Cricetulus griseus: one gene and its partners. The protein of the gene in region 4 interacts with the protein of the main gene of each other region in a pairwise test. Links are inferred from orthologs where the notes say so. Each region holds a gene or a part of one and is shown on either strand. Other genes may lie near its edges.

Region 1 (3,500 bases), on a different chromosome or scaffold from region 4:
GAATTCTCGTATCCCCTGACTTGAGAAGATGGGCACTGACTGGGGTGTAGAGTGAGCCCTCCGACAATGGTCCAGGAAAACTCGGAACATGACCAGGGGCATCTACTGCACGTACCACAGCCTGCTGCCGCACGGGGATGGCCTGTTCCAACGCAGTAGCTTCAGACTCCTCCTGTGCCTGTTTCCGGGCAGCTGTGAGAGAAAACCCTATGTGGACTTCCTGCCATCTGTCCACCCAACCTGGGCACAAGGGCTGGTGGTGCTGCCCTTCCCTCCACCTTGGGCTCAGCTAAGTGCTCAGTTAGAGCCTTAACTGTAGGCTCTAACCAACAGGCTTGCCCTGCCTGTGCCTCTCAGGAAGCCAGGAAACACCCAGTAGCTTACAGGTTCTAAGAAAGGATGAGTCCTAGTTCTGGCACCTATTAACCATTCTTAATTAGACTCAGGCTTTCTGTCCTCTACTTTGTATCAGTTGGATCCACTGGCTCAGAGCCCTGCCAAGTCACTCTAAGGACCAGCCAGCCAGGAGGCTCTGCCTGTTTGCCTGCCTCTCTTCCCTGGGTACTCTGGGCATGCCAGCCAGCTACCACATGGGACCTTGGTCTCTGCCTCAGTCCACTCTTCCCATGGACCCATGCCAGCTGGTAACTTCAGGTGACCCAGGCTGCTTTTTCTCACCAGCACCCACACAGCGCCTTCTTTGCCTCCTCCCTCTCTACACACAGCACCCCCACTTTACAGGGGCAGAACACACAGGAAGTGATTGTGTGCCACCCCCAGGGAAAGTTGAACTCTAAGAGGTTGAGGCTGGGCGGGTTCTGCCCACTGCCCTGTCTGTCAGTGAGGCCCTGGATCCCTACTAGACACCTGTCCCTCAACATCCTCAATCAGACTGATATGCTAGGGCTGTCTCTGCAAAGACTACTGTAGAAACTTAGCAGAATTGATGTATCTGGGGTAGACATGAGAATAAAAACTTGTTTTCTAGAAGTGCTTTGACCTTGAAGAATTATTGTGCTAAACAGTAAAGAATCTTTGTTGAAAACAGTGATTATTTTCAGCGTTTTGTAGAACTGTTTTTCTAGGGGCATTGCAGCCTTTACATGACTTTGGTCACAAGACGACTTTGGCACACCTGAGGCTCTTGGATTATCACGTATTGCAAACGACACAAATAGAGGACTAAAAGTCATGAGTGCATGTGATGCTCTCCTTTGGAGAGACATATGGATTAGACTAGGAGCCTGGGTATGAGGAAACACTTTATCTTAAAAACAACTCTGTAACAATCAATAAGCATGCCTTTGTATGACTGACTGATGATGTTCAGTTCACCAGAGGCCGGGCCTTCCTGCTGCCATCCAGGCCTTAAAACTTCACCTTGGAGTGACCTCTTACTCCTTACTTCGACCAACCCACGCAACACAGAACACCTTACAAAAGACCATGAACTTACAAGCACTCGAACACTACCTGTTTGCTCGGCTACCTTCTTCGTGGCTGCTTCTTTAGGTTCTTTCTGGACCTGACTGGCCAGCTTCCAGCGGTTGCTGATCTATAATGAAAACAGACAATGACCAAAACCAAAAAACCAAAACCATTAAAACCCCTGCTTAAACTCAGGAACTTAGGATGTCCTAGTTGTTAAGAGGCAACAGAGGGCATGCTAACCTAATAATGATACATATTCTGAGCCACCACACTGGCTGGCTTTAAGAGGACAAAGTACATCTGACCCCAGACTCCAGGCTGCATGTGCTTATAGCAGACATCTCATTCCATCCAGCCCACCCTCCCTCCAGGACAGGAAGGAAGCCTTAGTCACTTGCCCAGTGGCCCAGTTAGTAAACAAAGCTGGGCTCAAGAGGAGTCCCCCCTTGGTCCTGTTTCCCTTTCTGTCCCACTTAGAGCTGTGACCTCAGTCCATATCTTGGTGACCCAAATGAGCACCAGGAGGGATGGACAGCTGAAGGGTTTGCCACAACCAGGGAGGAGGAGATAAAGAAAAGCCCACTCACTTGGTCTTTCTTATTTTGACTTTTGAGTCAAGGCTGACATAAAAGGTTTTATGCAGCCAATGATGACCTTAAACCCACTCTCTTGCCAAGTACTGGGTTTACAGTTATATACTATAGACTCCCTATTTCCAGTGCCCGCCCCCTCTTTCGGTGGGTGAAAGAGAAGGTCTCCCTATGTAGTCCTGGCTGCCCTGGAACCTGCTATGTAGACAAGGCTAACCCTGAACTCAGAGCTCCACCTGTTTCTGCTTCTGAAATGCTGGGATTAAAGATGTGGCTCTTATACTTGGCCTGTTTTTTCCCTGGTTTGGGTCTGAACCCAGGACCCTGGGCTTGCTAAGAGTTCGCTATCACTGAGCCAAGTCTCCAAGTCCAGGACTTCCCATTTCTTCTTTTCTAATTTTAATGTTATTATTATTCTTTTTCTTTTGAAGCAGAACCTCACCATGTAGCCCTGGCTCCCCAGAGCTTCATATGGAGACTAGGTTGGCCTCAATATCATAGAGAATCGCCTGCCTCTGCTTTCCATGTGCTGGGATTAAAGGCGCGCACCATCACACCCAGCCACCCTGCTGTTTCCATTAAATCTTATTCACTTTGTGTGTGTGTGCACGCTGTGCATGTGTGAAGGTAAAGATACAACGTGGAGTCCATTTTCTCCTTCCACCATATAGGATCCTGGGATTGAACTCAGCTTTCAGGCACGGTGGTGGGCTGTTACCCACTGAGCCATTGTGCTAGCTCTGGGACTCTCCATTGCTAAAAGCAGCAGGCTAAACTCTTAACACAGGACTCAGGCCTGTCTGGGTGCCTACACCAAACACATCCCGCCTACAGGGAAAATGGAGGCTTTGAATCAGTGTGCCACCTCCCAGTCACAGAGAGGACCTGTGGGAGGGAGGGGTGTTCTTGTCCACAGTGCAAGGCAGTGCCTCTTCAGTTTCAAGCTGCTCCCTTTAAGAGCCTTGAAGTGACATACACATGTACAAGTGTTATAAACTATATCATTTATGTACTTTATTATGTATAATTTACTCCATTAGAAAAGCACAAAACAGTTTGTCATTGTTAACTTTCCAGTGCTGAACTTGAACCCAGGCTCTCATACATTAGGCAGACACTATCCTACTTTGATAGCCTGTGAACCAGAGCAGGCTTCTTCTTGTATTTTTAAGGCTGGGCCTCACAGACCCCAGGTTATCCTAGGACACACTATGAGCTGAAGATGACTTTGAACTTCCGATCCTCCTGTTGTCACCTCCCGCGTGCTGAGATTACAGGTGTGCATCTCCATTCCAGCTTTATGTGGTGCTGGGATCAAACAAGGGCTCCATACAAGCCAGGCAAGCACGCTACTAACTGAGCTCTGACCCCAGCCCCAAACCCTTTGTCGCAGAGATTCCCAAAGGCTTCCGAGGACTGGGCTATGGTTTGGCCTCTCCTCTGTTTTCAGCGGCCTACAGAGATCTGAAGCCCACCTGA
Region 2 (4,111 bases), on a different chromosome or scaffold from region 4:
CCCTGAAGAGGGTCAGAGGCTTCTTAAAGCAGTTTCAGACCAGGCTGCAATAGGAGAGCCCTTTAGGCTACAGCTTTACAAATAGGTAATGAGGCCAGAAAATCAAGCTCTCCCCCCTCACACACCTGTGGGGAGAACATGAGAGCCCTTTACCCCAGTACCCAGGGGCATGCAAACTCAGAAAAATTAAAAGCCTAGCAGCCCTCCTCACCAACTTCTACTTTGCTAGAATTGGAGAGCAAGGTTTTCTGGATTAAGGAAGAGATTCCTTAGCAGCTAACATTCCCCTTTAAGTTTCTCCCTTCAAAAGCAAGTGAGCAAACAAGAGCACCTAGCTGAATGGCCATCCCACTCTTGGCCCGCCCATCCATCCAGTCCATCCCAGTTCCTTCTCCCTCCCAACAGCCCTCTCCTTACTTGATCTTCCTGAATTCATCACAGTCACAGAGGATCAAATTCATATGCTTGTCAAAAGCTTTGAAGGTCCCGATGAAGATCCGGCCATCTTGCAGGATGCACCTCATCCTGTAGTCAATGTGCTGCAGCATCTTGCTGCTCTTACCCACAGTCTGCAAGGAGAGAGCAGGGAGCAGTGAGGACTCACTCACACACTTCTGCTCTTACCCACAGTCTGCAAGGAGGGAGCAGGGAGGACTCACTCACACACTTCTGCTCTTACCCACAGTCTGCAAAGAGGGAGCAGGGAGGACTCGCTCACACACTTCTGCTCCCCGCCCCCATCTTCCACCACAGCCTACTTTTCTATTCCCAACCTTCTCAACAATTTCCTGACATCTTCCAAACAAGGTCCTTTTCTGAGACTCTTATCAACCAGCTTTAGCCTTGATTTCTGCCCATTAATGTGCTATTTTCCCTGCCCTTAAAACAGGCAATCTCCCTGGGACTACAACTTTGTCTATGTTGTATCTGTCTCAGGAGAGTTAAAGTGTTCACAAACTAATCAAATCCACCCATACTAGACCTAGTGGGCATTAAGCCATCCACCACTATATAGACTCAGTTCTACGAACAACTAAATCCATCTAAACTAAGAACTGGAATTCAACAGGCACTAAGTGGATTCACTTAATTAAGGAAAAGCTTATTACCAGAAAGTGAAACCAGCTCTGAAGCAAGAACAGGAGTAGGGTAACTTGGGCAACTTTTCTGGGCCAGAGTGCTAATTAGTTTGGATACTTAATAGTCTAATATATATATATAATATAATAGTCTAATTTTTAATTAAGGCAAACAACATTCTCTATCCTGGTTCCCAATGTAACTTTGCAAAAATAAAGGCGCTTATACACACCCCTAGGTGAACAGAGGTATCTGTGGTAGTCTCTCTCAGAAACGTATCAGTTACCCACAACTATAACTGGCATTATGTCACTTTTAACTACCCAAGTTGTCTTCTCTGTACCAGGAACGCTGTTCACCCCTGTGAGCATTACCCAGCCCTAACCTGAAAACCAGATTTTGTATTTTTTTCTGCTTAAATAATCATCTCAAAGAGCTCTGTTACTAGGATCGGCGTATATCGGTCCAATAGCTAATATTTAATAGCTATGTATGGCTAGGCCCTTGAAAAGGATTTATCTCCTTTAATCCTCAAAACTGGGTCCACTGTCATTCCTTTTTACTGACCAAATAGACGACCCAAGCTGAAGGTTAAGTAAGGACTTGTCTCAGTCAACTCTCAAAAACAATAACCTATTTTCGCTACCTCGGGTTTCTTCAGCTACTTAACTAGACTAATATTTTTGGAGACATTCGAGGCATTTGTTACATTTGCTCTGTAGCCAAAACTGGCTTCAAAATTCAAGCTCCTCTGCCTACTATGCACAGAAATTACAAATTTCGAGCACTGGCCACTTTTCCCGGCTGACCTTTCTAAACCTAAGTCCATGAAGCCTGTGAAAACTCTTCCAGCGATGTCTTACTACCAAGAGGGAAAACAAGATGCAGGGACTTCAGCAACCAGGTTCCTGACAATTCGTTGCCTTCTACTGGGCCCTCTCGGTTCTCCAGATTTCTAACCCTCCCTCGTACAGGGGAGCGGGGCGCTCCTAAACAATCACTTGGGCGTCTGCTCTGGACCCGTCCCGCCCCTCCCCCTGCCGTTACTTTTTTGCCTAAAGCCGAACTGCCATAGAGAATCACATTAGCCCTGCACAGAGCCAGAAACTGAACCAACGCACAACTTATTTCAGGGTGCAGCCCCAGCGCCTGACATACCCCAACATAAAAATACGCGTAGCAGGGTCGCGCTCTGCATGCAAACACTCTCCTCCACCCTCCCGCTCCCTCCGCCTCTCCTCCGTCCGGCCCGGTGTCCCCCGGTCGGCCGGAGGCTCGCGTCCGCTCCGGGAGCCCGGGCACACAGCGACCCGGCACACGTTTCCAGCTACCGAGGCCGCGGAACTGTAACCGCAGAGGCGCCGGGCCACGCACGGCGGCCTCGGTCCCCGGTGCAGCCTTCCCCTCCACCCGGGCCCAGCCGCTCCGCAAGTCCAGGCCTTTGGCGCCCGGATTAAGCGGCTTCGACCCCGACCTTGTCGGCCACGGGCGGCTTCAACCCACGGCCGCCGCCAGCCACCGCCCCACTCCGCACCCCTGAGCGCCCCGCGGCCAGCCCGCGCCTTCTTACCATGGTGGCGGCTCCGATGTCTCAGATGCCCGCCGGATTCGCTTCCACAGAGGCCTAGTCGCCAGCCAGCAGCGCGATTCCCGCCGCCGCTAACGGAAATGCAGCCCGCAAAGTGCCGCCCCTCGTGAGGCTACTTCCGGCTCGGCCTCCGCCCCGGAGTTCCGGGCCCTGGTAGCAGTTTAGGGCGTGGAAAGGTGTTGACTGCGGCCGGTTTGTTTGGGGTTTTGTTTTTGTTTTGATTTTTTTGGTGTGTGTGGTTTTGGTTTTTTTTTTTTTTCTTCGTTTTAATTTTATCGAGCTCTCCCTCTCGTTTTGTTTTGTTTTAGAGACTGTGTCGCCCAGGCTGGTCTTAAGCTCCGATCCTCCTACCTATAGCATCCTTAGTACCGACGCGGGCGTACACCATCATATTTGGTAATAAACATCAAACTGAACGCCCTTGAAAGCATTGGATCCTCGTTGGACACACACCTTCCCAACTTAGTCTCCGCGAGGGTGGCGTGTTTCTCTCCCCGGAACCCCTCCCCTACTCCAGTTCTTGAACCCAGCGCTCTCGTGAACTCACTCACAGAACTCACTCTTACTGATTTTCCCCTAAGGCTTGAAATGTTCTTTCATCTGTACCTTTGCATTTGCTTTTGTCTCGCCCTTTCCTCTTCATGTTTAGACTGAAATAACACTGTCCTGGTGAGGACTTCCCTGATCGTCCTTTCTCTTTATAGATAGGTAGGTAGGTAGATAGATAGATAGATAGATAGATAGATAGATAGATAGATAGATAGATAGATAAGAAACGAGTCCTTCCCATTTTTTGTCTTTAATATTGATTGCTATCTGACATGCTAAGCGGTAGTCCCCTCATTGTTGGAGGGGTTACCTTCCAAGACTCCCAGTACCTTCTCCGAGTCACAGTACCAAACCCTGAATATGCTGTATTTTTTCTACATATGTATACTTCAGTGAACTTGTGCTTTTCCACTTAAAGAAAGCATATTTGGGTACCTTTGAATTGCCGGCATCACTAATTAAGTGCTTTAGGACTATTAACAAAACAAGGACCACCTGAACACAAACACTGCAACGCAGGTCAGTTGATCTGATGATCCCTCTAGCTACCGAGAGGGTAGCGTATGCAGTGTGGAAACCTACACAAAGGGAAGATTTGTGGTTAGGGCAAAAATATGGTATTTCCTCATGCTAGTCACAATGGTGCATGACTTAGAACATTAAATGCTTAGTTCTAGAATTTTCCATTTAATATTTTCAGACCTATAGACTGGGATAAGAGATGATTACTGTCTATATTCTTAAGTTATTTTATTACCCCATTAGAATGTAAGCTCCACTAGAGTATAGTGTTTTATTTGCTTAGATCACTGCTTAGCATAAAGGCTCAATAATTATTTGCTGAATGAATTAATCTTATTCTGCTCAGTGACTTCTAACTGTTGTTTATATGCC
Region 3 (4,043 bases), on a different chromosome or scaffold from region 4:
TCTGCCTCTGGAGTGCAGGGATCAAAGGCAAGTGAGCCACCACTGCACAGTTAGCCTTCCACTTTCAATAGCCAAGTCCACCTTATAATGGCTTTTGGGACTGTCCATGACAGTCCATGGTCCAGATGTATTAACGAACATAACTGATGTCTATGCAAACTTAAACATAAAACTAAATAACTATGAGGAAATGTAAATAAAAATAATTGTTGCCAGGTGTTGGTGGCGCATGCCTTTAATCCCAGCACTCAGGAGGCAGAGGCAGGCATATCTCTGCGTGTTCGAGGCCAGCCTGGTCTCCAGAATGAGTGCCAGGATAGGCTCCAAAGCTACATAGAGAAACCCTGTCTCGAAAAACAAAAACAAAAACAAAAACCAGAAAACAAAACAAAACAAAAAAAACACAAAAAAAGTTATGTAAAACACTGCTGAGCTTTGCAAGAAAACAGGTGTTTTCTTGCTACCCCAAATCCTTCACTAATGTGGCCCTTGTGTCCCAGCACTGATGTAACTGTGGTTTTGTCTTAAAAAGTGACATCTCTGAGCTTGGTCACCAAGAGACTTTCAGAGGCAGCTCTCGGTCTGGCCATTAATAAAAGGACTCAAAACTAGTAATTGGCTTAATCATCATCATTGTCAATAACTATCTCTCATGGGTCATGTCACTATGACCCAGAAGACAGGTGACAATTGGAACTGGTGAACTGGGTGGTGATGGAAGCAGTAATGCTGAGATTAGAGTACATTTCAGTGTAGGAGACAGAAGTTTTGCTAGACACAGGCATGGGGGAGGATGAACACTTGCTGAGCAGATCAGTGTCTGGGAGAACAGAACATCTCTACAGGGGGGCATTTAGAAACTCTTAAGTTTGTAAATGTGCTGGACCACTAGCCAAGTTACCACTGGCAAGTTTAAATCACTGAAGGGTCCAGAGTAAGTCTGAACATTAGCCCACCTACCCAGCTTCTTCTATTGCTTGGCCCTTGCCCTATATTCTCAGTTGCTGGGAGAACAAGTTAAAAATTAAGACAAGACCCCAGCTATGTCAAGAGGTGTGCTAAAATAACCACAGACTTGTGTAAGAAAACCCCATTAAGCTTGCACAAACACACCTTGTTATCACAAGTTGTAAAATCCGAAGTGCACTCCTCTCCTTGGCCTCCCCTCAAGACCTAATCTGAAGATTATTCCTTTGACTCCCCACCCTTTGTATGTTTTTCTGCCATAAAAAAAGAAGCTTATGGGGGCTGGAGAGATGGCTCAGCAGTTAAGAGCACTGACTGTTCTTCCAGAGGTCCTGAGTTCAATTCCCAGCAACCACAGGGTGGCTCGCAACCACCTTGAATGAGATCTGCATGCAGGCAGAAGACTGCATACATAATAAATAAAATCTTAAAAAAAAAAAAAAGAATCCTATTAAAAAAAAGAAGAAGAAGAAGAAGAAGAAGCTTATGGCCTCTTCTTAGGGGTCTCAGGTCACAGAGGCAGATTCCACCCTGCCAGTGGCCCTAACCAGTTAGACACTCTGGTATCCTTCGGTGATAGGATAGAGTTGCTAATACTCATCTAACGTTGGTGGCCTCATCTTCAATATCCCCAATTATAAGCTAAAGATGGCTACCAATGTTTAAGAGTCTATTGAGTCTTTTAAGTGCTTCTCACTTAAAACTCCCTGACATCCATCAGTGAACACCAATACACCCTCTCTTTTTCTTCCCTTGCCAGTGGCCAACTCAGCCAGCAGTTAAAACTCTGAGGCCTCTGTGGCCTTGGGAAAGTCACTCTACCTTCTCTCAGGCTCCAGCTTCCTATCTGTGAAGCCGGTATAAGGTAAGTAAACAGCACGGAAGTGTCTGGAGCCCCACCTACTCGGGAGACTAAGGCAGGAGTTCGAAACCAGCCTGGGCAACATGGAGGACGCCAGCTTCTCAAAACAGAAACAAACTCGCCTGTCATCCCAGCACTTAGGGTATGAAAGCAGAGAGGATCCAGGCATTTAAGGCCTGTCTTCAAGACACAGTGAGTTCGAGTCCTGCCCCCGTCTCAAGAAAACAGGCAAAAAAAAAAAAAAAAAAAAAAACATTACAGACACTACAGTGATAGGAACAAGGCAGTTGGCATATGAAAACTCTAAAACGCCTCTCAGCGGGTCAGGGTTCACGACAGTGGCTTGAGAGAACCTGGAGAATTGGCTATTACAGCTCTGGGTTAGGGTCTCGTCCGCTCAACTTCCATCCTCTTAATTCCGAGGGCCGCAAGGCCCGAGCAGGGGCTGCGCCACCGTCGCCCTCGGACCCAGTAGCCAGGTAGGAAGGCCCGGCCCTGCCCTGCCCTGCCCAGCCCCGGGCCCGCCTGTGGCCGGGCCTCCCGGGCCCGGTAGCCAGTGGGCTGGCAGGCGATGGGCCCGCGCGGCCTGGCCAATAAGGAGCGCGGCGGACGCAGGGGGCGGGCGCAAGCGGCTTCTCGCGTCGCGACCGGGACTGCTCCGTCCTCCGCCCCCGAACCCCACGAAGCAGCGAGCCCCACGAGCCCCACGAGCCCCGAATAAAGGGAAAGGCCGCTCACCGTCCCTTGGTCGCCGTTCCGCGCTTCCGGATGAGCTCGTCCAGCGAGATGTCGGCCATCTTGCGCCACCGAGCTAGCGGAGAGTGGGGAGGCGACAGCAGCGAGCCCGCCCCTTGAACACTTTCGGAGCGACGAGCAGCTTCCGACACCCGGACAACCAACTCTCGCGACAACTCAAAACGAAGTTCGGAACGGAAGGGGTGGGGCCCGCTCCCCGTGAGCCTTTGCGGTGGCCACTTCTAATCTGCATATAGAAAGCCGAAACGTGGTGCATTATTTTTTTCCTTCCTTTTACAGACGAAGAGTTAAAATGATGGAAGTTGGTAACCACTAGAAAACGTTCATATAAATAAGTCTATCGGCTCAATGGACGATCTGAAACTCACCATACTTGTAATGCGAATCTAATTCCTTACCACTGAGGGCCGGGCAGAAACTCTTTATGCCTTAAACTTATGAGTAAGGAAAATAACGATTCGGGGTGACGCCCGAGTCCTCACTGCTAATGTGAGACGAATTTTTGAGCGGGTAAAGGTTGCCCCCTAAGGCGACCCGCCTACTTTGCGGGATGCCTGGGTGCGGTAATCTGCCCGACCCCCCCACACGATAAAGAAAGTCAGAAAGCTGGCGAGCAGCTCAGCCCGGTTGCTGGAGATAATAGGCCGCATTTATGTGCATGCACGGAACTCCTTAAATATCCCTAGCTAAGCAAACAGGCTGCGAGGCTTTTAGCCACCTACTGTAGGGTGGAAGGTACAAGTCCACCTCCGGGTTTGAAAATATGAAAAGCTAGGTCGAAGCCCGGAGAACTCTGCAAGTTCAGCACCGCATCTGAGTCTGAAGAATTATCTTGGTCCCAAGAGTAGAGCTAAGGTTGGGTGTTCCCTTTCCTTAATTTTAAGTAGAGACCACCAGCCTCTTGCTTTCATGCTCTGTCTCTCCTGTTTCTCTTTGCTGTCACTATTTGTGCGGGATCCCAGAGTGGGCAAAGGGAAAGCTGCAGGTTTAGCCTCAGTGTGTCGGGGCCAGTTGAGCGGTGCGGAGATGTGGAACCCGGAGTCCAGCTGCACTGGGGGAGGGGGTGCCCAGGGTCCTGCTGGGGACAAGTCTCCAGTGACAGCATCTCTTCTGGAGGACTTCAACTCTACACCAGCATACTACATAAGCAAGTGTTACCCTCTTGTGAATTCCTTTTCTTTTCACTAGTTCCTGATATCTTTGGAGCAGGTTGATTTTTCCCAATTCCATGTGTTAGGGAGTGATTTCTCCACACCCCAAGATCAACTTCTGGGAGTCAAGGGGCCACTGAAACTTTCTAAATGAGCCTCAGGTCTAGGCAGAGTGAATAATCACTAGCCCACATGGTGGACTGGAAAACTGAAGCAGAAAGGGCCCGGGCCGGGTCCAGCACATCTCCTAATCCTAGTTTTGTTTTCAAAGAGTAAGACCAGTTCCCTTTCAAACACCGATTTCACAT
Region 4 (3,893 bases):
TATTTAAAGCCCTCAGCAGACCCCTACAGTATCCTGATTTGGGGAAGTACCCTTTGTGACCTCATGCTTTCTCCTCTTGGGCTTGTTTTCATCACTCCTGGGGAAGCACCTTTCTACACCTATGCATTTAACATAATGTCATCTCCTTTTTTCCACTTTTACAGCAGTTGAGATTCTTGCAACATCAGATGGCTATGGCAGCAGCCGCCGCACAAACAGCCCAGCTACATCGTCACCGACATTCAGGTGGCCAGTCAAAGAGTAAAGTGAAGAGAGGCATGCCAACCACTCCAAAATTCTGAGCAATTTTTCTTTCTTTTTTTTTACAAGACCAGTGAATGAAAAGAACTGCATTTCTACTTCATCCCCCCCCCCCAAGATGTCAGTATTTTACATTGATGGATGTACATACTTTATACAGAAGGACAATCCTGTGATTCTTATATGGAGACATGGTTAAATGTTTTCCTATATATACCATCTAAGAACTACTAGAAATATCTTCAAAAAGAACATAGTTTGGTATTTATTTAGTATAAAAAGCCTGTGCACAGTGTAACAAATACAATTTTTACAGCTGTTTTGCAATGGTGGTGGCTATTCATTTGTGTTTCATACTCTGAATGACTTCATCTAGCAGCTTGTTCACTTCTTTGTGTCTCGAAACTGCACGACTCATGCAGTCCTGAAGTTTAGCTCCAGTAAGTCCACTCCCACCTGAAAAATTGTGCCAATTTTCAGTGTTTCCGTTATTTCGTGAAAATTTAAGATCAAGTCAAATATTTACTTTTTAAATCAAGTATCATCTAAATCAAGTGGTGTGGTTTCTGCAGGTTCATTTTAGAAGACTCCAGAAAACAGATATGTTTAGAAATGATACACACACACACACACAAAAAAAAAAAAAAATAGCAAAGAAGCCCATAAACTTACATCAGCTAAACAGTCAAACTTCCCACACTCCACTTGACAACCACTCCCCACCAGTGTTTAAAGCTGCAGTGAAAAGAGCATACCTGGTTTGTGAAGAGAACACAGCTTGCCTTCCTCATCCATTACTATCGTTAAGGTTCCTGTTGACAAGTGTTCCTCCTCTCCAGTAGGATCAACGATCAGCAAAGTACTGCATTTGAAAAATATAAGTGATAAAAAAAAAAATGTGCATGGGGTGCGGAATAGGGGAAGGGTATCAAGAAGAGACTGATTGGAGGAAGCCAGAGTGAGTGGCAGCACCCTGCAGCCCAGTACTTCTGAACTCCCTGCTCTTCAGCTTGGGTTCTGCAGCTAATACTGAAGACAGTTTCAGAAGATTATAGAGTAGTAGCTTGGAGCATAGCTCAGCAATGGAGCACTTGCTTAGTATGAACAGGCCCCATACAGTCCCCATCACCATCCAGGAAAAAGGGCATAAAGAAACAGAGGGCAAGTAAGGTGAACATAGAATTGGTCCTGTACATTAAAATGCAGTGCAGATGGAAGCACCAACTAAAGGAACTGCAGGGCAGGGCTCAAATGTCCACAGCAAATTAGGGTTGGTAGTCGACTCGGGGACATTTCTTGTAAAGATATCTAAATAACAAGCCATTATCTTAGAACCTAGAGTGTTACTTTTGATTAACTTACTCATCAAACACAGCAAAGGAAGTTGCAACTGGGTTTGTTCTAACATTCAAATAACTTTTCTTCTTTAAATTAACTTCTGCTAAAGCAGTTTCTTCATTTATAGTAACTTCAGGCAACTGCACTACAAAAAGGCAAATAAACATACATATAAGGTGATTGTGGTATATAGCTTCACTGTAATCCTTTCTTTTCCCAAGTTAGCTTATCCAGAACAGTTATTTGACAGGATCTCACTATGTAGCCCATCTAGCTTGGAACCCACTTTGGGATTAGAGTTGTGTACTACTCACCTGATATTAGTATAGTTTTAAGTATCTCAAACAATTAAGGTAAATATGGTAGAAGAAGACTCCTCAGTACATCTTATTTTCCAGCCAAGCTGTTTTGGATTTTTATCTCCCCGTCCCAAGACAGGGTTTCTCTGTGTAGCACTGTCTGTCCTAGAACTCACTATGTAACCAGGCTGGCCTCAAACTCAGATATCCCCCCATGCCTTTGTGCCTCCTAAGTGTTGGGATTAAAGGCATGTATTGCCAACAAACCACCTGCACCACCAATGCCCAGTATCTATTTTATAACACTGATTTGGTCACCCACTCTCCTAAAGTAGTAAGTGCTGCTCTTCAGTACCATTTTATTACAGAGGAAGCAAGCAGGCTGGATTGATGTTTAACTAGGACTACACTAATACCACTATTAACTATATCTTCCACTATAAGTTAGTTGGATGTTTTAAAAAGAAAGAATACTGTTTTGCAGTCTGAACTAGCCTCAATCTGCCATTCTCATCTCCTGTGGGAAGAGGATATATGCATTGACAACCATGCCTAGCTTAGTTTTGTTGTCCATTCAGCAATGTAGAATGACTTGGAATGTGCACAATTGATATTCTATGACATTACCAACCTACCCAGGCCCTTACCAGGAACATCACTATCAGGAAATACTTATGGTCAATCTGCACAAGCCACTTGGACTATAGTGAAAATCCCCTATCTAAGTTCAGTGAATTCTGGGAAGGGCTGCTGGAGACAAAGAGATTCTAAAAGGCTACAGAACATAAAACATTTTTAGAAAACCCTGTAAAGTTGACTAACTTAGGAACACAAACTTGGCAAGGTAGTTCAAACTTAAAATATTACCAGCATCTGGGAGGATTAGGAATTCAAGGCCAGCCTGGGCTATGGGATACTGTCTTACAAAATAAAAATTATGTGACTGATATCTAAATCTCAAGAAAGCCCTGTAAAAGGTTTTGACCAACTGGACTCTTGACAATATTAGCAGGAAAATGTTTTTATTAAGGCTGCTTACCATTCTTTAAAGCTGCTAACAGAGCAAATGTGCAGGCATCCAAAATATTTCCATCGTAGTCTAGGCAAATAAGGTCACAGTACAGAACCCAAGCAAGCTAAAATAGTTCACATAAAAGAAGTTAGACCTGATAATAGAATATTGCTGTTTCCTTAGGCCTGAATTGCAGGACCATTGATTAGACAAATTAAGATGGACTTAAAAGTCTAAACAATTACAGAATCCCTTCTAAGCTCTTAATTTCAGGGTTTAAGGTTTTTGATTCATCCCCACTATCATATTAGATCACACAGCCACTTCAGAGTTCATAAGAGCTCAGTCTGTTCTTACCTTGCCTGGAGAAATGCATAAGTCCTCTTTCTTAATTATCTGTGAGCTTGATTTAATGATAAAGAACACAGTAAATGTAAAGGTAAAACATTTGATAATGCATGGCGGTAAAATTTCATAATAATCTTACTTTTCAAGGACATCTGCAATGAACTGGCTGGTTACTTGGGCCTCTTCTCCAGGAGGTCCAGTCCGAAACCTCGATGAACACAGCGGTGGTAGATCCACATTAGGGACTGAAAGAAACACTAAAGCTATGAGCTAAACTTCACCCCCTGACAGCTGAGGTTCCTAGTACAGGGACTGCCCCACAGCACAGGTGATGGCTATGGATAGACTCTTTGGGTAGAAAGCTTGGCAGTGTTAGAATTACTTTTTCTGAGAGTGCCTGGCTGAGAGAAAAAGAAATTTATGCTTGTCTAAAGTTTTCCCATACTGCTTTAAAAGTTTCTTATGATTCAATCATAGTTCTTTACAGTTTTTCTGGGTTGTTTTTTTTTTTTTTTTTCTCCAATAACTGTCTCTAGTAGGACAAGCCTGTGCTTACATCCAACTATTAAAGTTTTAAATGTGGTTTCTACCTTAAAGAAAAGATATTCCAAGACCAAAAATATTTCCCAGTCTAA
Region 5 (4,098 bases), on a different chromosome or scaffold from region 4:
ATAGTCTGCTATAATTCTTTTCTTCCAAACAGAACTTTAAGACAGTGACAAATTTTTTTTTCTGTAGTTTATTTATTTTTCTTGAGACAGGGTTTCTCTGTGTAGCCTTGGCTGTCCTGGAACTTTGTAAACCAGGCTGGCCTCAAACTCACATAGCTCGGCCTGCCTCTGCCTTCCAAGTGCTGGGATTAAAGGCATGTGCCACCACCACCCAGCTGCTTTCATTTCTTTTTAAAAATGCTTTACATTTATGTATATGTGTATGAACCTTTGTGAGTGTATATAGTTTGTGTATGCAAGAGCCCATGGTGGCCAAAAGAGGGCTTATATCCCTTGGAACTGGAGTTCCAGGTAGCTGTGAGCCACCATGTGGGTGTTGGGGACTCAATTCTGGCCCTCTTTACTGCTGAACCATCTCTCCAGATTCTTGTTTGCTTCTCTCTCTCTCTCTGTGTGTGTGTGTGTGTGTGTGTGTGTGTGTGTGTGTCTGTCTGTCTGTCTGTCTCTCTGGTTTTTCGAGACAGGGTTTCTCTGTAGCTTTGGAGGCTGTCCTGGAACTCACTTTGTAGACCAGGCTGGCCTCAAACTCACAGAGATCCACCTGCCTCTGTTTCCCGAGTGCCAGTGTTAAAGGAGTGCACCACCACCCAGCTTGTTTCTCTTTTTTATTATTTATTTATTTGTTTGTTTGTTTTTTTGAGACAGAGTTTCTCTGTGTAGCTTTTGAAGCCTATCCTGGCACTTGCTCTGGAGACCAGGCTGGCCTCGAACTCACAGAGATCCACCTGCCTCTGCCTCCCGAGTGTTGGGATTAAAGGCGTGCACCACCAACGCCCAGCGTTTCTCTTTTCTAAAAATCAAGTTTACTGGGGCTGGAGAGATGGCTCAGCGGTTAAGAGCACTGGCTGCTTTTCCAGAGGTCCCCGGCTCAATTCCCAGCACCCACATGGCAGCTCACAACTGTAACTTCAGTTCCAGGAGATCTGACACCTTCACACGAATACACATAAAATAAAGTTAAATAAATTATTTTTAAAAAATCAAGCTTACTAAAGGCCATTTATGCATTCACCACAGTAACTTTTGTCTAAATTAAGAAGTCTTCTTTGTTTTTTGAAAGAGGATCTCTCTTTGTAGTCATGGCTTACCTGGAATTCACTATGTAGACCAGGCTGGGCTTAACTCAAGAGAGATCCACCTGCCTCTGCCTCCCGAGTGCTGGCATGCTCCATCATATCCAGATTAAATTAAGAAGTTTTAAAACAAAATAACTGCAATCACTTCCCCAACCTGAGAACACTTATTTCCCAGTTAGAGATGATTTGTTTGGGAGCAGCCACCTTAACTACCCACGCATCTCCCAAGGCCAGAGCCACTTTTCTCAAGTAGGCAGTCTTACACAGTTCTTTTAGTTATTATAAAGAAAGCAACCATGGGATTTTAGAGCCCTAAGTGGAGAAAAAGAAAGCTGTGACGAACAAAGATTAGGAAACCGGGAATACTGTTTCAAGTGAAAATGAAATAATTAGGCTTTTGAATATATAATTATAATCTCCCTTCAATTTGGTAAGTAAGCAATGGCATTGTTACTACAAACAGGTCTTATTTAGGAAGACTGTCAGATACTTAGATTTAAGAAGGTGAGAAGAGAACATTGATACCAGAAAGGGTTTTGTTTTTGTTTTTGTTTTTGTTTTTGTTTCCCCAGAGACAGAGTTTGTCCTGGAACTTGCTCGCTCTGTAAACCGTGAACTCACAGAGGTCCTTCTGCCTCTGACTCCTTAGTACTGGGATTAAAGGCGTGCGCCACCACTGCCCCAGCCAAAAAAAAGAAGGCTTTTAAAAAGATGATGGGGGGGGGGGTTTGCTGGAGAGATGGCTCAGAAGTTAAAAGCACCCGCTGCTATTCCAGAGGTCCTGAGTTCAATTCCCAGTAACCACATGGTGGCTCACAACCATCCGTTATGAGATCTGGTGCCCTCTTCTGGTGTACAGAATGTTGTATACATAATAAATAATAAAACCTTTAAAAAAAAAAGATGATGGGGACATGAGAGCTATGGGCTCTCAGGAGTAATACTGTCAGAACACTATTCTATCTCAAAGGAAAAGAGAATGTCAAAGGAAAAGAGAATGCCTGGCTCGGGCTCTGGTTGGCACCTAAGCAGTTTGTGGATGCCGGATGCCAAGTAACTGAAACAACCCATTCCCCAAGCCTCCGTACGTGGGTCGTTTTCCTACCTGTGGCACAGACGCGCCCCAGATCAAACAAAGCCCTAGACCTTCACCAGGAAACCCAGTCCTCAGCTGCATTTTTTTTTTTTTTTCATTTCAGTCTGGCTCCGTACTTTTTGGGGTCCGCTCCCACCCCACAGGCTCTTTAGCTCTCACAGGTCAGGCGTTCCCTCCAGACAGAGCACGGCACACCCCTCTCCATAACCAGTGCCCTGTGTTCTCCGGGGCTACGATCTCGGGATCGAAACTCCAAACCCAGGTTTGGGACCCCACCCGCAGCCACCTTCTGGTCAGTACAGCCCGGACAGAGGCGCACTCCCCAGCCTGGGTCACCGGCTTGACGCCTCCGTCCCCACTTTGTGGACCACACTCCCGCATCCTCCTTCCACCCGCGCCACGGGCCAACCTGAGCTTGGCCTCTTGGGGACGACCGTCACGCCCCGACGCGACGCTGGGCTCCAGCGGCCAGGATCTTTGCTCCTCTCGGCTCCCCACAGACACCTTCCTCTCCGCCACCTCCACCCGCCTCAGTCCCACTGGACGCCGCCATCCCTGATGGCCGCACTGGGCACAATTCCCGCTGCTCATTGGCTGTTACCTAGGCAACCACGAGCAACGCCACTCCCCATTGGTCCACTCTTCTTCCGTGCCATCTTTGTGAGGGGCCGAATGTTTTGGGAGCCTGGGCCAAATATCTGAAAGAGGGGTGGGGCTGAGCCTTCTGTCTCACTTCCATCAGCCAAACAGAAAAGGAGGACCCAGGTTTCATCTCTCCGGAGACTTCCAGGCAGAAACTTTAATCCCATATAAGGCCGAAGGTGTGTCCAAAGTGGCCACCAGCTCAAGAGGTTCTAATTTTTATGTTCATAAACAGCTCCACCGCAAAATCAGAAGAGAGAAACTAAATCCAGCTTTAGAAGCTCAGCATTATAATTTAGCAAGGCGCTGCACTTTTGCATTCACAGGGACTGGTTATGACCCACATCCTTTGCATTTAAAATGTGTTGCCATTCTTGGAGCAAGTCTTCCCAAATAATGTTCCCAAATATCGGTGTGTCCATATGTTTGTTTACTGAACCGTGTGCGTGCAGCATGATGTCAAGTTCTGCCAGGCTTGGAAAGCCACGGTCATTGTTGTTTCTCTCATAGGACTTATTATTACAAGACAAGGCAAGTTGCTTCAAATTGCTTTTTGGATGGGGATTTCTTCATCCACAGGTTAGAAAATGATAATGATGTCAATAATAATGGCTTTTCAGGACTTATATGAGAACACAATGTAAAAAGGAATAGTGGTTTGAAGTTATTTTTAAAAACTTTGGATTCTGTGTTCAAATTCTATCTCTGCTATTAATTGTGTATGTTTTTTGAGTAACGTATTAAGCTCTCTACCCTGTAAAATGAGATTGAACCAATAGATTTAATGTGGTACTAACACTCAATTGGTAATATAAGCTAATCTGGGAAATCAATTGTAGATTAAACTACAATCATTGAGAGTAGGAGTGTAAGAAAAAGGAGAATATTAGAATTCATGTTAGAAAATATGAAGAAATTAGATAAGATCATAGACTGTATAAGGGTAAATCATGGAAAGACCTGTAAATTAGCAAGAAGTGTATAAATGTAGTTTCTTTGATTAGCAAGAAGGCTTATTAAGTATGGGCAAACTGATTTGTCTCCTTAGGAAGCAGCATCCAACATCATAGGAGCTATAATGGCATTTAAATGAGTTCATCCATGTAAAATACTTAAAACAATGCCCAGTACTGAAAGACCCCTGGAGGCTCAGGCCCCAAGGGTTTCTGCCCAGGCAGCAACCCCAATCACCAGGCAGAGGCGAAAGCTTGATGCGAACAGCAA
Region 6 (3,841 bases), on a different chromosome or scaffold from region 4:
TGCTGTGGGCTTAGGTCAGTGTGCCCAACTTCTCTCGGCCTCTGGTTGCTGGTGTACAAAAAGGATACAAAAATACTCTCCACATTTTGTTATTTGAGAAAGCATACAACACAGACAGGGCCTGGCACAGCGCTAACAATTCCCATAATTACTGGTAGTCAGATTCACGGTACCTCGTTCAGTAGACAGCACGCAGTACCCTGAACCCGGGTGAGATACTGCTCAAGAATAACACTGATAAACTCTGTCTGACCAGGCTAGAGTGACTGGGGGAGCAGGACCTTGAATAAGGAGATGTCTGAACTGTGAATAAAATTTTTTAAATACCCAGGGCTTTAAACAAGATGGTGTTTGGAAAGGTGTGAGGATGGTTGAGTGATGGAAATGCCATTTCCTGTTTGACTATAGGAAAGTGTTGTGCTGTTGACGATTCTTAACCTCCTCTGTGTCTCAGTCTTCTCATCTCTAAAAGGGGGCTGCTTTCATCAACTATCTTGTGCCAATTCGCTAACATATTAAGAGTGCTTGCACGAGTACATACCACAAAGCAAACGCTCAGTTATTGCTAGCTGTTATGTTGTTGACTGTAATTACCATATTACCCTGAGCGACATTTCAAGGTGCCACATGTCAGAATCCCCCCTCTCCCCGAGCCACGCCCTTTTTTAACAGTCCCAGCAATAGTAAATGATAATTGCCTGGGACACAGGAATCCCCTCTTACTAGAAGAACCCAAGAAGACACCCACAGTGACTGCTTGGACATTAGGGAGATTACCCACCCACGCCTGCGTGACCAGGCGGAAGCAGCTTTGTCACCAACTCAAACCCCTGTGCATAAACAGTGAAGGGGAGACTAGGCCCTTAAGAGTGAGTGACAGGGCAGCTGGCCCGCCGTGCAGTAACTACAACACACCACCAGGGAGCAGCAGAGCCCAGCCCTAGGTGGTTTTGTCTACAGGAGCAATTAATTTGTTCCAGGTTTCCTTCGTGTATCCGCTCCCGGCTGCAATCACCGAGCTTGTTGTTGATCATCCAACCTATCAACGAGGGTCCTGCTCCGGATCAGCGGGACCAGCGGGCCCGCAGAGCTCGGCTCGTCTAGGAGCCGTCTTAGCCCCGCCCCCGCGGCTCGGCCAACCCTGGGTGGAGAGGAGCGTCACAGGGGCGGGTCCGGGGACCACGTGGCCCGCTAAGGGGGTGACCGGGTCGCGAGGGCGGAATAGGCAAAGCTGGCCTCGCCCTGAGTGCCCTCCCCCCCGCGATGGGCGTGCAGCCCCCCAACTTCTCCTGGGTGCTCCCGGGCCGGCTGGCCGGGCTGGCGCTGCCGCGGCACCCCGCGCACTACCAGTTCCTGCTGGACCTGGGCGTGCGGCACCTGGTGTCCCTAACGGAGCGCGGCCCCCCTCACAGCGACAGCTGTCCGGGCCTCACGCTGCACCGAATCCACATCCCTGACTTTTGCCCGCCGGCCCCGGAACAGATCGACCAATTTGTGAAGATCGTGGACGAGGCCAACGCCCGCGGAGAGGTCAGCGCGCTCGCCTAGGCCGAAGCGAAAGGGCGGAGCCTGGACGGAAATGAGTGGGCGGGGCGGGGGTGGAGTCAGAAAGGAGAGGGCGAGGCTGTGGGCGGGGCCTGGTGGGACCCGGCTGGGCTGGAGCTAGATGAAACCCACCCATCCTCTGACTAGAGTCAGCTCTGCTGCTAGAAGAGAGGGAGGCTAGGTGATGCCAAGCAGGCTGGAGAGAGTACTGTCAAGTGAAATGCTTCCAGGAGTCGGCGGAGCGCCGAAGCCAGATGGAAGTGGTTCAAAACCCATTTTCTAGAGGTCCATATGTCATGGAGACACACTTGTAACTTTAAATTTTACTAGCAGCTACGTTTCATAAAGAGATGAAACGAAACAGGTGGAGTTAATTTTGCTACTAATCCAATAAGTCAAAAATATTATTTCAACATGGAATCAATATGAAATAAATTATTAGTGAGGCATTTGCAGTCTTTTCCGTGCCACATCTTCAGAGCCTGGTAAATATTTTACACCCAAGCTCAATTTGGACTGACACATTTCAGGTAAAAAATACCACAAGTGGCTGGGTGTTCTGTAACAGACAGCACAGATAGAGGGGGCAGGAGATGCAGGCTGAGAGCCCAACTTGGGAACCAGCCACTTCTGAGGCCTCCATGTCACCAGAAGCAAGGACAGTCCTCAACAGTGTTGCTGTCACTTGCCCTCTGAGGGCCTGAGATTTGTGGGGAGAACAGCACCTTTCGGTGGGAACAGGAGACTGTTGGGGAGGGCATTGGACTCCACTCCATGGGTTTCCTCTTCACAGGCTGTCGGAGTGCACTGTGCCCTGGGCTTTGGCCGCACCGGCACCATGCTGGCCTGCTACCTGGTGAAGGAGCAGGGCTTGGATGCAGGGGATGCCATTGCTGAGATTCGGCGCCTGCGGCCGGGATCCATTGAGACCTATGAACAAGAGAAAGCTGTCTTTCAGTTCTACCAGCGAACAAAATAAGGAACTCGACAGCTCCCCCTGTCTGCTGCTGCTTGTGGAAAATGTGGCCAGGGAGGATGGAAAGTGGACTTAAGTTCTACAGCCTTCAGCTCCCTTTGCCTCCTATTGGACAGAAGTAGTATTTCCCCGAAGCCATAACCTGATTGACAGGATGGCTGAGACCCCATGAATATAAGTTAATAACTAATAAGAACTCATTTGCACTGCATGGCGTTACACAGCACTCCCAGTACATCAACTCCATGTAAGCCCTGGGTTGTAGAAAAGATAAAAGCCATTTCTGTTCTTTGAATGAGGTGGCTAGAGCTCATGGTCACAGTTCTGGAAAACAGAAGGATGGGCCAGGACTGCAACACACGCTTTTGTCTCCTTGAAGATGTTGAAATTCTAGGTGCTGTTCCCTAAACGTATGTGATATGGTTTCTAGAGAACGGGTTAGTGAAAGAGATCCGTGTCTCTGGCCACCCAGCTCCGAGCAGCCTCGGGGCTCTACACTCCCACACCAGGAGTGTCCTTGTTGATATCACCCCTTATGTAGGCTCATCTGCTCCCACTTGGGTCACCTTTGTTCTTCTCAGGGTACAGAAGACTTGGGTGTCACAGATGTCTCTCTTCTCCCCCCTTCCTCTCCCCCTCCCCCTCCTTCTCTCTCCCCCTCTTCCCCTCTTACCAGCCTCAGGTGTACCCAGCTCATTTGTTACCTCCAGCCTCTGTGTCATCCCCAGCCTCAAGCCAAGGAATGCCTGAACTGAGTCTTGGTGGTTATATAGAGTGGATATTAAGTAATCAAATAAATAACTCTGGGCTGTGACTCTTGGCCATGTTTCTTGGGTTTTGTCTTCTTCACGTCTCCCCTGTAGGGCTCCATTCTGCCATTGGCACCACACTTTGGAGATGAGATGAATGTCATACATGAGCCCAGTGGACTCTCTTATAATGTCAGTCTGAATTTTTGCCCTGTCTTCTGCCATAACAGGCTGAACTGAAGAAGGGAGATCCACCCTGAGATATACATCGAGTGCCTGTGTGAACTAGGTGCTGTCAGAGGTGGAGGCGACTCAGCAAAATAAAACATGATTCCTACTCTCAGGAGAAGATAGGTAGTGACAGTCCATTCCCACATGACAGATGCTAAAGGCCATTTCTACTATTGCAGGCTCAGCACAGAATAGTCAAGAATTCCCCTATAGCCTCCATCTCTTGTATTGAAGACCAGAGCTTCGCCTATGCCATCCCCTCCCCAGGACTTCTCTCCCCGTCCTCTGCTGGCCCTAACTAAACATTATCCAGCTCACCCTTCCACAAAAGGCTTAGTTA
Region 7 (3,367 bases), on a different chromosome or scaffold from region 4:
AATGTGCCATGTCTAACACCTCACCTTTTAAAATAATGAGTAGAGGTGGGAATGAAAGGTTCAGGCTTTATGCTGATCGGCTCTACCTCTTTAAGAGACAGACCCTACCCCCTGACAACAGGGCACACACAGAAGAACTGCCTCGTCATCACCACGTCACCACGTCACCCGCCACGCATTATGGCCTGCGTGAGGACTCTGGGCATGCGTGGAATCTCAGTGCGCATGCCCAGTCTTCCCTTTAAAAGTTCCAACTTCCCTGTTTCGCTCTCTCTCTGCTGCTTCTTCTTCACTCTGTTTGCTTCTGCTTCTCTTCTCTCTCTATGGCGACCAGCCACGGCGGGCAGCCATTACCCCTGTTCCTCTTCTCTCTTAGTCTCCCTACTCTATCGGGCTTAATAATAAACTGGTTAACATGTCTCATCTGCCTCTTCTTCTTTATCTTTAATTTAAACAAAAACATAACACCCACAACAGTACATCCTCAAGAAACACAAAAGTAAAAAACAAAGTACAAATTTTATTTTGTTTCTTTACAAAGGCACAATGGCCTCTTGGTATTTTGTTCCCTACCCCCACTTTCTTAACAAAATATAATAGCTTCTCCCTGGACACAAAGACCTCAAAATTATTAAAAAAAAAAAAAAAAAAAGGAAAAAAGAAAAATCGTAAAAAAATACAGAAACCAAAACCAAAATAAAACCAACAACGAACAAAACAAAAAGAGAGACAAAGACATTTTTGGGGTCGATGATGGGAACCCCGGAGGGAAAGGTGAAGTGGAGAGTGTGGCCAATTCCGGTGCTGAGGTGGGGAGGGAGGGGAGAGGGAGAATGGCAGCAGCAAACCCCAACCGAGAAACAACAAACCGAAACAACTCCCAGGTCCCCAGAAAGCCCCAACCCAGCCTGACCCCCAACCCATGTAAGTGCTTAAAAGAGAAAAACAGAAAACCAAATAGAGGAGGGAAGGGGGGCTGAAGACTGGCGGTCTCGGACTGGCTCTGGGGAGGGAGGAAATACCTTGGGGTTTTGTTTGATTTTCCCTGTTCTTAAAAACACGTTTAAATGGAAGGAAAACAAACAAACAAACAAAAAAAGCTTTTTGGCGGAGAGAGGCCCGGCACCTCAGTGTCAGCGTCCCCGGCCCCAGGGCCGAGGCCCAGCCCTGGAGTCCCAATGCTCCCACACGTGCTATGCCACCCCAACCCCGGGACCTGGGCTTGGGTGGCTTCGATCAAAGGTCGACTTACAGTATTGAAAAAGAGGTCATAAAAGAGACCCAAATGACATCATAATTTTGTAAAAATTTCTCACTCATTCACCCATGTTTCTCCCTGTTGTTACCCCGGCCCCCTCTGACCCCCAGAGGGAGAGGAGGGCTGAGGGGTGGTCAGGGAAGCTCTCCGTCCCCTAAAGGTTCCTCCCGGCTCTGGTCCATGGCGTCGCTGTCCGAGGCCTCGGAGTCTGAGGCGGTATCGGAGGTAGGTGCCTCTGGGCAGCTGCGGACAGACTTCACAATAACCGCTCGTCTCTGTTCCTCCTCCAGCTCCTGCTTGTCCCGGGTGCCCTCAATGTGCTGGATTGCCTGGACAGAAAGGGACAATCAATTAGGAGACTCGGCTGGGGAGACCAGGCCAGCCAGCTGCTGTCTGCCCCCAAAACACATACCCCAGAACTCTTCAAAGCAGGTAGGGGGATTGAAGGGCTTGGCTTCCAGAAAACCATAGCCCTAGATGTTAGAAATGACAAGCACAGGGACTGGAGTGGTGGCTGAGTGGTTAAGAGCACTGGGTTCGATTCCCAACACCCACGTGGTGGCTCACAGTCTGTAACTCTGGTAACAGGAAACCTCACACCCTCTTCTGCCCTCTGAGGGCACTACAAATGCATGTACACATACATATATGCAAGCAAAACACTCATCCACATACGATAATAATAAAATGAAATCTTTAACAGCTCATGTTTATATATCTTGAAGTCCATTAACTCACTAAAGGTCTTTGCTATTGGCTCTAACTCAGTTGGCTGGGCATATATGCAATGAAAGTTCTAGGATCTGATGGTCTATTCTTTTTTTCTCTGGTTCTGTTTTTCAGGTTGTTTTACTATTTATCAAATAGATATTTTTGTTCACAGTACTAGTAGGAGGCCTAAGTACTACCTACCCATATAAAGGTGAAAGGGGCGGGGGAGGGTAATTCAGTCTGCACAGTGCTTGTCTTTAAGCATGAGGGCATGGGTTCAGCCCCCAGACCCACTAAAGCCAGGCATGGTGCCATGAACCTGTAATGGGGGGGGCGGGGCATGAGTAGATTCAGAAAGATCCCTAAGGCTCCCTGCAGCTCATCCTAACTGGTGAGCAACAAGCTCCAGCAACAGTTCCCTGCCTCTTGCTTCTTTGGATCCCCACCTCTGCTTTCTTAACAAAATATAGTGGCTTCTTGGACACAAGTATCTCAACATTATAGAATAAATAAATAAATAAATAAATAAAATACAGAAACAAAACCACCAACAACAAAAAAACAACAGACAAAGACATTCCAAGGTCAATAATGGGAACCCTCGTAATGAAACATCAGGAGCATCGTGTGTAAGTGTGTGTGTGTGTGTGTGTGTGTGTGTGTGTGATACAGAGACAGATATTTGCTCAAAAAATGTAGTAGGCATCTTTCCTGCATGTTATAAATAAATATATATATATATATATATATATATATACATACATACATACATACACACACACACACACACAATAAATAAATTTTATTTTAATTAAAAAAAGAAAGGAGTCTCTTTTTCCCCTGGGCACAGGGAAGGGGACCTATCCAAGCATCCAGATCGCTACTCCTCCTACATAAGCTCCATCTTGCCTTTCTTCCATCTCCTATTCCCTAGTCTCCAGTAAAAACCTTGTCCCCAAGAGTCAACTCCCACAAGCCACCCTCCCCAAACCCAAATACCTGCACAATGGTGTCCAGGTTTTGCCGGGATGTAGAAACAGAATTGATGACTGAGGAGGGACCCATGGTGACAACATTGATATGGTGGGAGGAAGGTGGGGCCGGTGCAGGCACAATCACTGTGGGGTGGTGCGTCGGGGCTGGAGGGGGCAGGAGCTGCAAGATAGATAGAAGCCCTCAGTCTCTCTCCTGCTCACCAACCTTCCTTACTCCTCACAGGGCATCTGCTCATGATAAATATCCCCCAAAGTCCATGTGGTAAAGGCTTGGTCGCTGGTGTGGCAGTATTAGAAGACAGAAACCTTAACCAAAGCTGAGTGTGGTAGTATATATCTGTAGTCATGGGACAATGACAAATTCAAGGCCAGTCTGGGATAGACAGTGAGTTCAAGGCCCACA

Evidence for each region.
Region 1: the proteins of Exosc8 (region 4) and Exosc10 interact in binary tests that used the Homo sapiens proteins (3 or more experiments, as listed by UniProt). The link is inferred for Cricetulus griseus from reciprocal best matches to the Homo sapiens genes EXOSC8 and EXOSC10.
Region 2: the proteins of Exosc8 (region 4) and Snrpb interact in binary tests that used the Homo sapiens proteins (3 or more experiments, as listed by UniProt). The link is inferred for Cricetulus griseus from reciprocal best matches to the Homo sapiens genes EXOSC8 and SNRPB.
Region 3: the proteins of Exosc8 (region 4) and Poldip3 interact in a two-hybrid assay, tested with the Homo sapiens proteins (2 studies listed by BioGRID). The link is inferred for Cricetulus griseus from reciprocal best matches to the Homo sapiens genes EXOSC8 and POLDIP3.
Region 5: the proteins of Exosc8 (region 4) and Morn4 interact in binary tests that used the Homo sapiens proteins (3 or more experiments, as listed by UniProt). The two-hybrid records come from large-scale screens. The link is inferred for Cricetulus griseus from reciprocal best matches to the Homo sapiens genes EXOSC8 and MORN4.
Region 6: the proteins of Exosc8 (region 4) and Dusp23 interact in binary tests that used the Homo sapiens proteins (3 or more experiments, as listed by UniProt). The two-hybrid records come from large-scale screens. The link is inferred for Cricetulus griseus from reciprocal best matches to the Homo sapiens genes EXOSC8 and DUSP23.
Region 7: the proteins of Exosc8 (region 4) and Tfap4 interact in binary tests that used the Homo sapiens proteins (3 or more experiments, as listed by UniProt). The two-hybrid records come from large-scale screens. The link is inferred for Cricetulus griseus from reciprocal best matches to the Homo sapiens genes EXOSC8 and TFAP4.

The regions. Positions count from the first base shown.
Region 1 is NC_048595.1:7,861,891-7,865,390, forward strand, and holds part of Exosc10 (exosome component 10), read right to left. Parts: intron 1,556-3,500; coding exon 1,474-1,555; intron 193-1,473; coding exon 116-192; intron 1-115. UniProt on the Homo sapiens protein: Catalytic component of the RNA exosome complex which has 3'->5' exoribonuclease activity and participates in a multitude of cellular RNA processing and degradation events.
Region 2 is NC_048599.1:48,439,500-48,443,610, reverse strand, and holds the start of Snrpb (small nuclear ribonucleoprotein-associated proteins B and B'), read right to left. Parts: upstream 2,801-4,111; 5' UTR 2,654-2,800; coding exon 2,651-2,653; intron 570-2,650; coding exon 418-569; intron 1-417. UniProt on the Homo sapiens protein: Plays a role in pre-mRNA splicing as a core component of the spliceosomal U1, U2, U4 and U5 small nuclear ribonucleoproteins (snRNPs), the building blocks of the spliceosome.
Region 3 is NC_048595.1:380,043,027-380,047,069, forward strand, and holds the start of Poldip3 (polymerase delta-interacting protein 3), read right to left. Parts: upstream 2,801-4,043; 5' UTR 2,626-2,800; coding exon 2,567-2,625; intron 1-2,566. UniProt on the Homo sapiens protein: Is involved in regulation of translation. Is preferentially associated with CBC-bound spliced mRNA-protein complexes during the pioneer round of mRNA translation. Contributes to enhanced translational efficiency of spliced over nonspliced mRNAs.
Region 4 is NW_023276806.1:96,566,638-96,570,530, reverse strand, and holds the end of Exosc8 (exosome complex component RRP43), read right to left. Parts: intron 3,516-3,893; coding exon 3,398-3,515; intron 3,314-3,397; coding exon 3,268-3,313; intron 3,035-3,267; coding exon 2,938-3,034; intron 1,745-2,937; coding exon 1,624-1,744; intron 1,124-1,623; coding exon 1,017-1,123; intron 718-1,016; coding exon 602-717; 3' UTR 501-601; downstream 1-500. Other genes in the region: Supt20h (transcription factor SPT20 homolog), read left to right, coding at 165-302. UniProt on the Homo sapiens protein: Non-catalytic component of the RNA exosome complex which has 3'->5' exoribonuclease activity and participates in a multitude of cellular RNA processing and degradation events.
Region 5 is NC_048596.1:19,462,915-19,467,012, reverse strand, and holds the start of Morn4 (MORN repeat-containing protein 4), read right to left. Parts: upstream 2,801-4,098; 5' UTR 2,642-2,800; intron 1-2,641. UniProt on the Homo sapiens protein: Plays a role in promoting axonal degeneration following neuronal injury by toxic insult or trauma.
Region 6 is NC_048598.1:20,242,916-20,246,756, forward strand, and holds Dusp23 (dual specificity protein phosphatase 23), read left to right. Parts: upstream 1-1,161; 5' UTR 1,162-1,263; coding exon 1,264-1,530; intron 1,531-2,338; coding exon 2,339-2,524; 3' UTR 2,525-3,341; downstream 3,342-3,841. UniProt on the Homo sapiens protein: Protein phosphatase that mediates dephosphorylation of proteins phosphorylated on Tyr and Ser/Thr residues. In vitro, it can dephosphorylate p44-ERK1 (MAPK3) but not p54 SAPK-beta (MAPK10) in vitro. Able to enhance activation of JNK and p38 (MAPK14).
Region 7 is NC_048600.1:42,117,273-42,120,639, reverse strand, and holds the end of Tfap4 (transcription factor AP-4), read right to left. Parts: intron 3,125-3,367; coding exon 2,969-3,124; intron 1,588-2,968; coding exon 1,393-1,587; 3' UTR 501-1,392; downstream 1-500.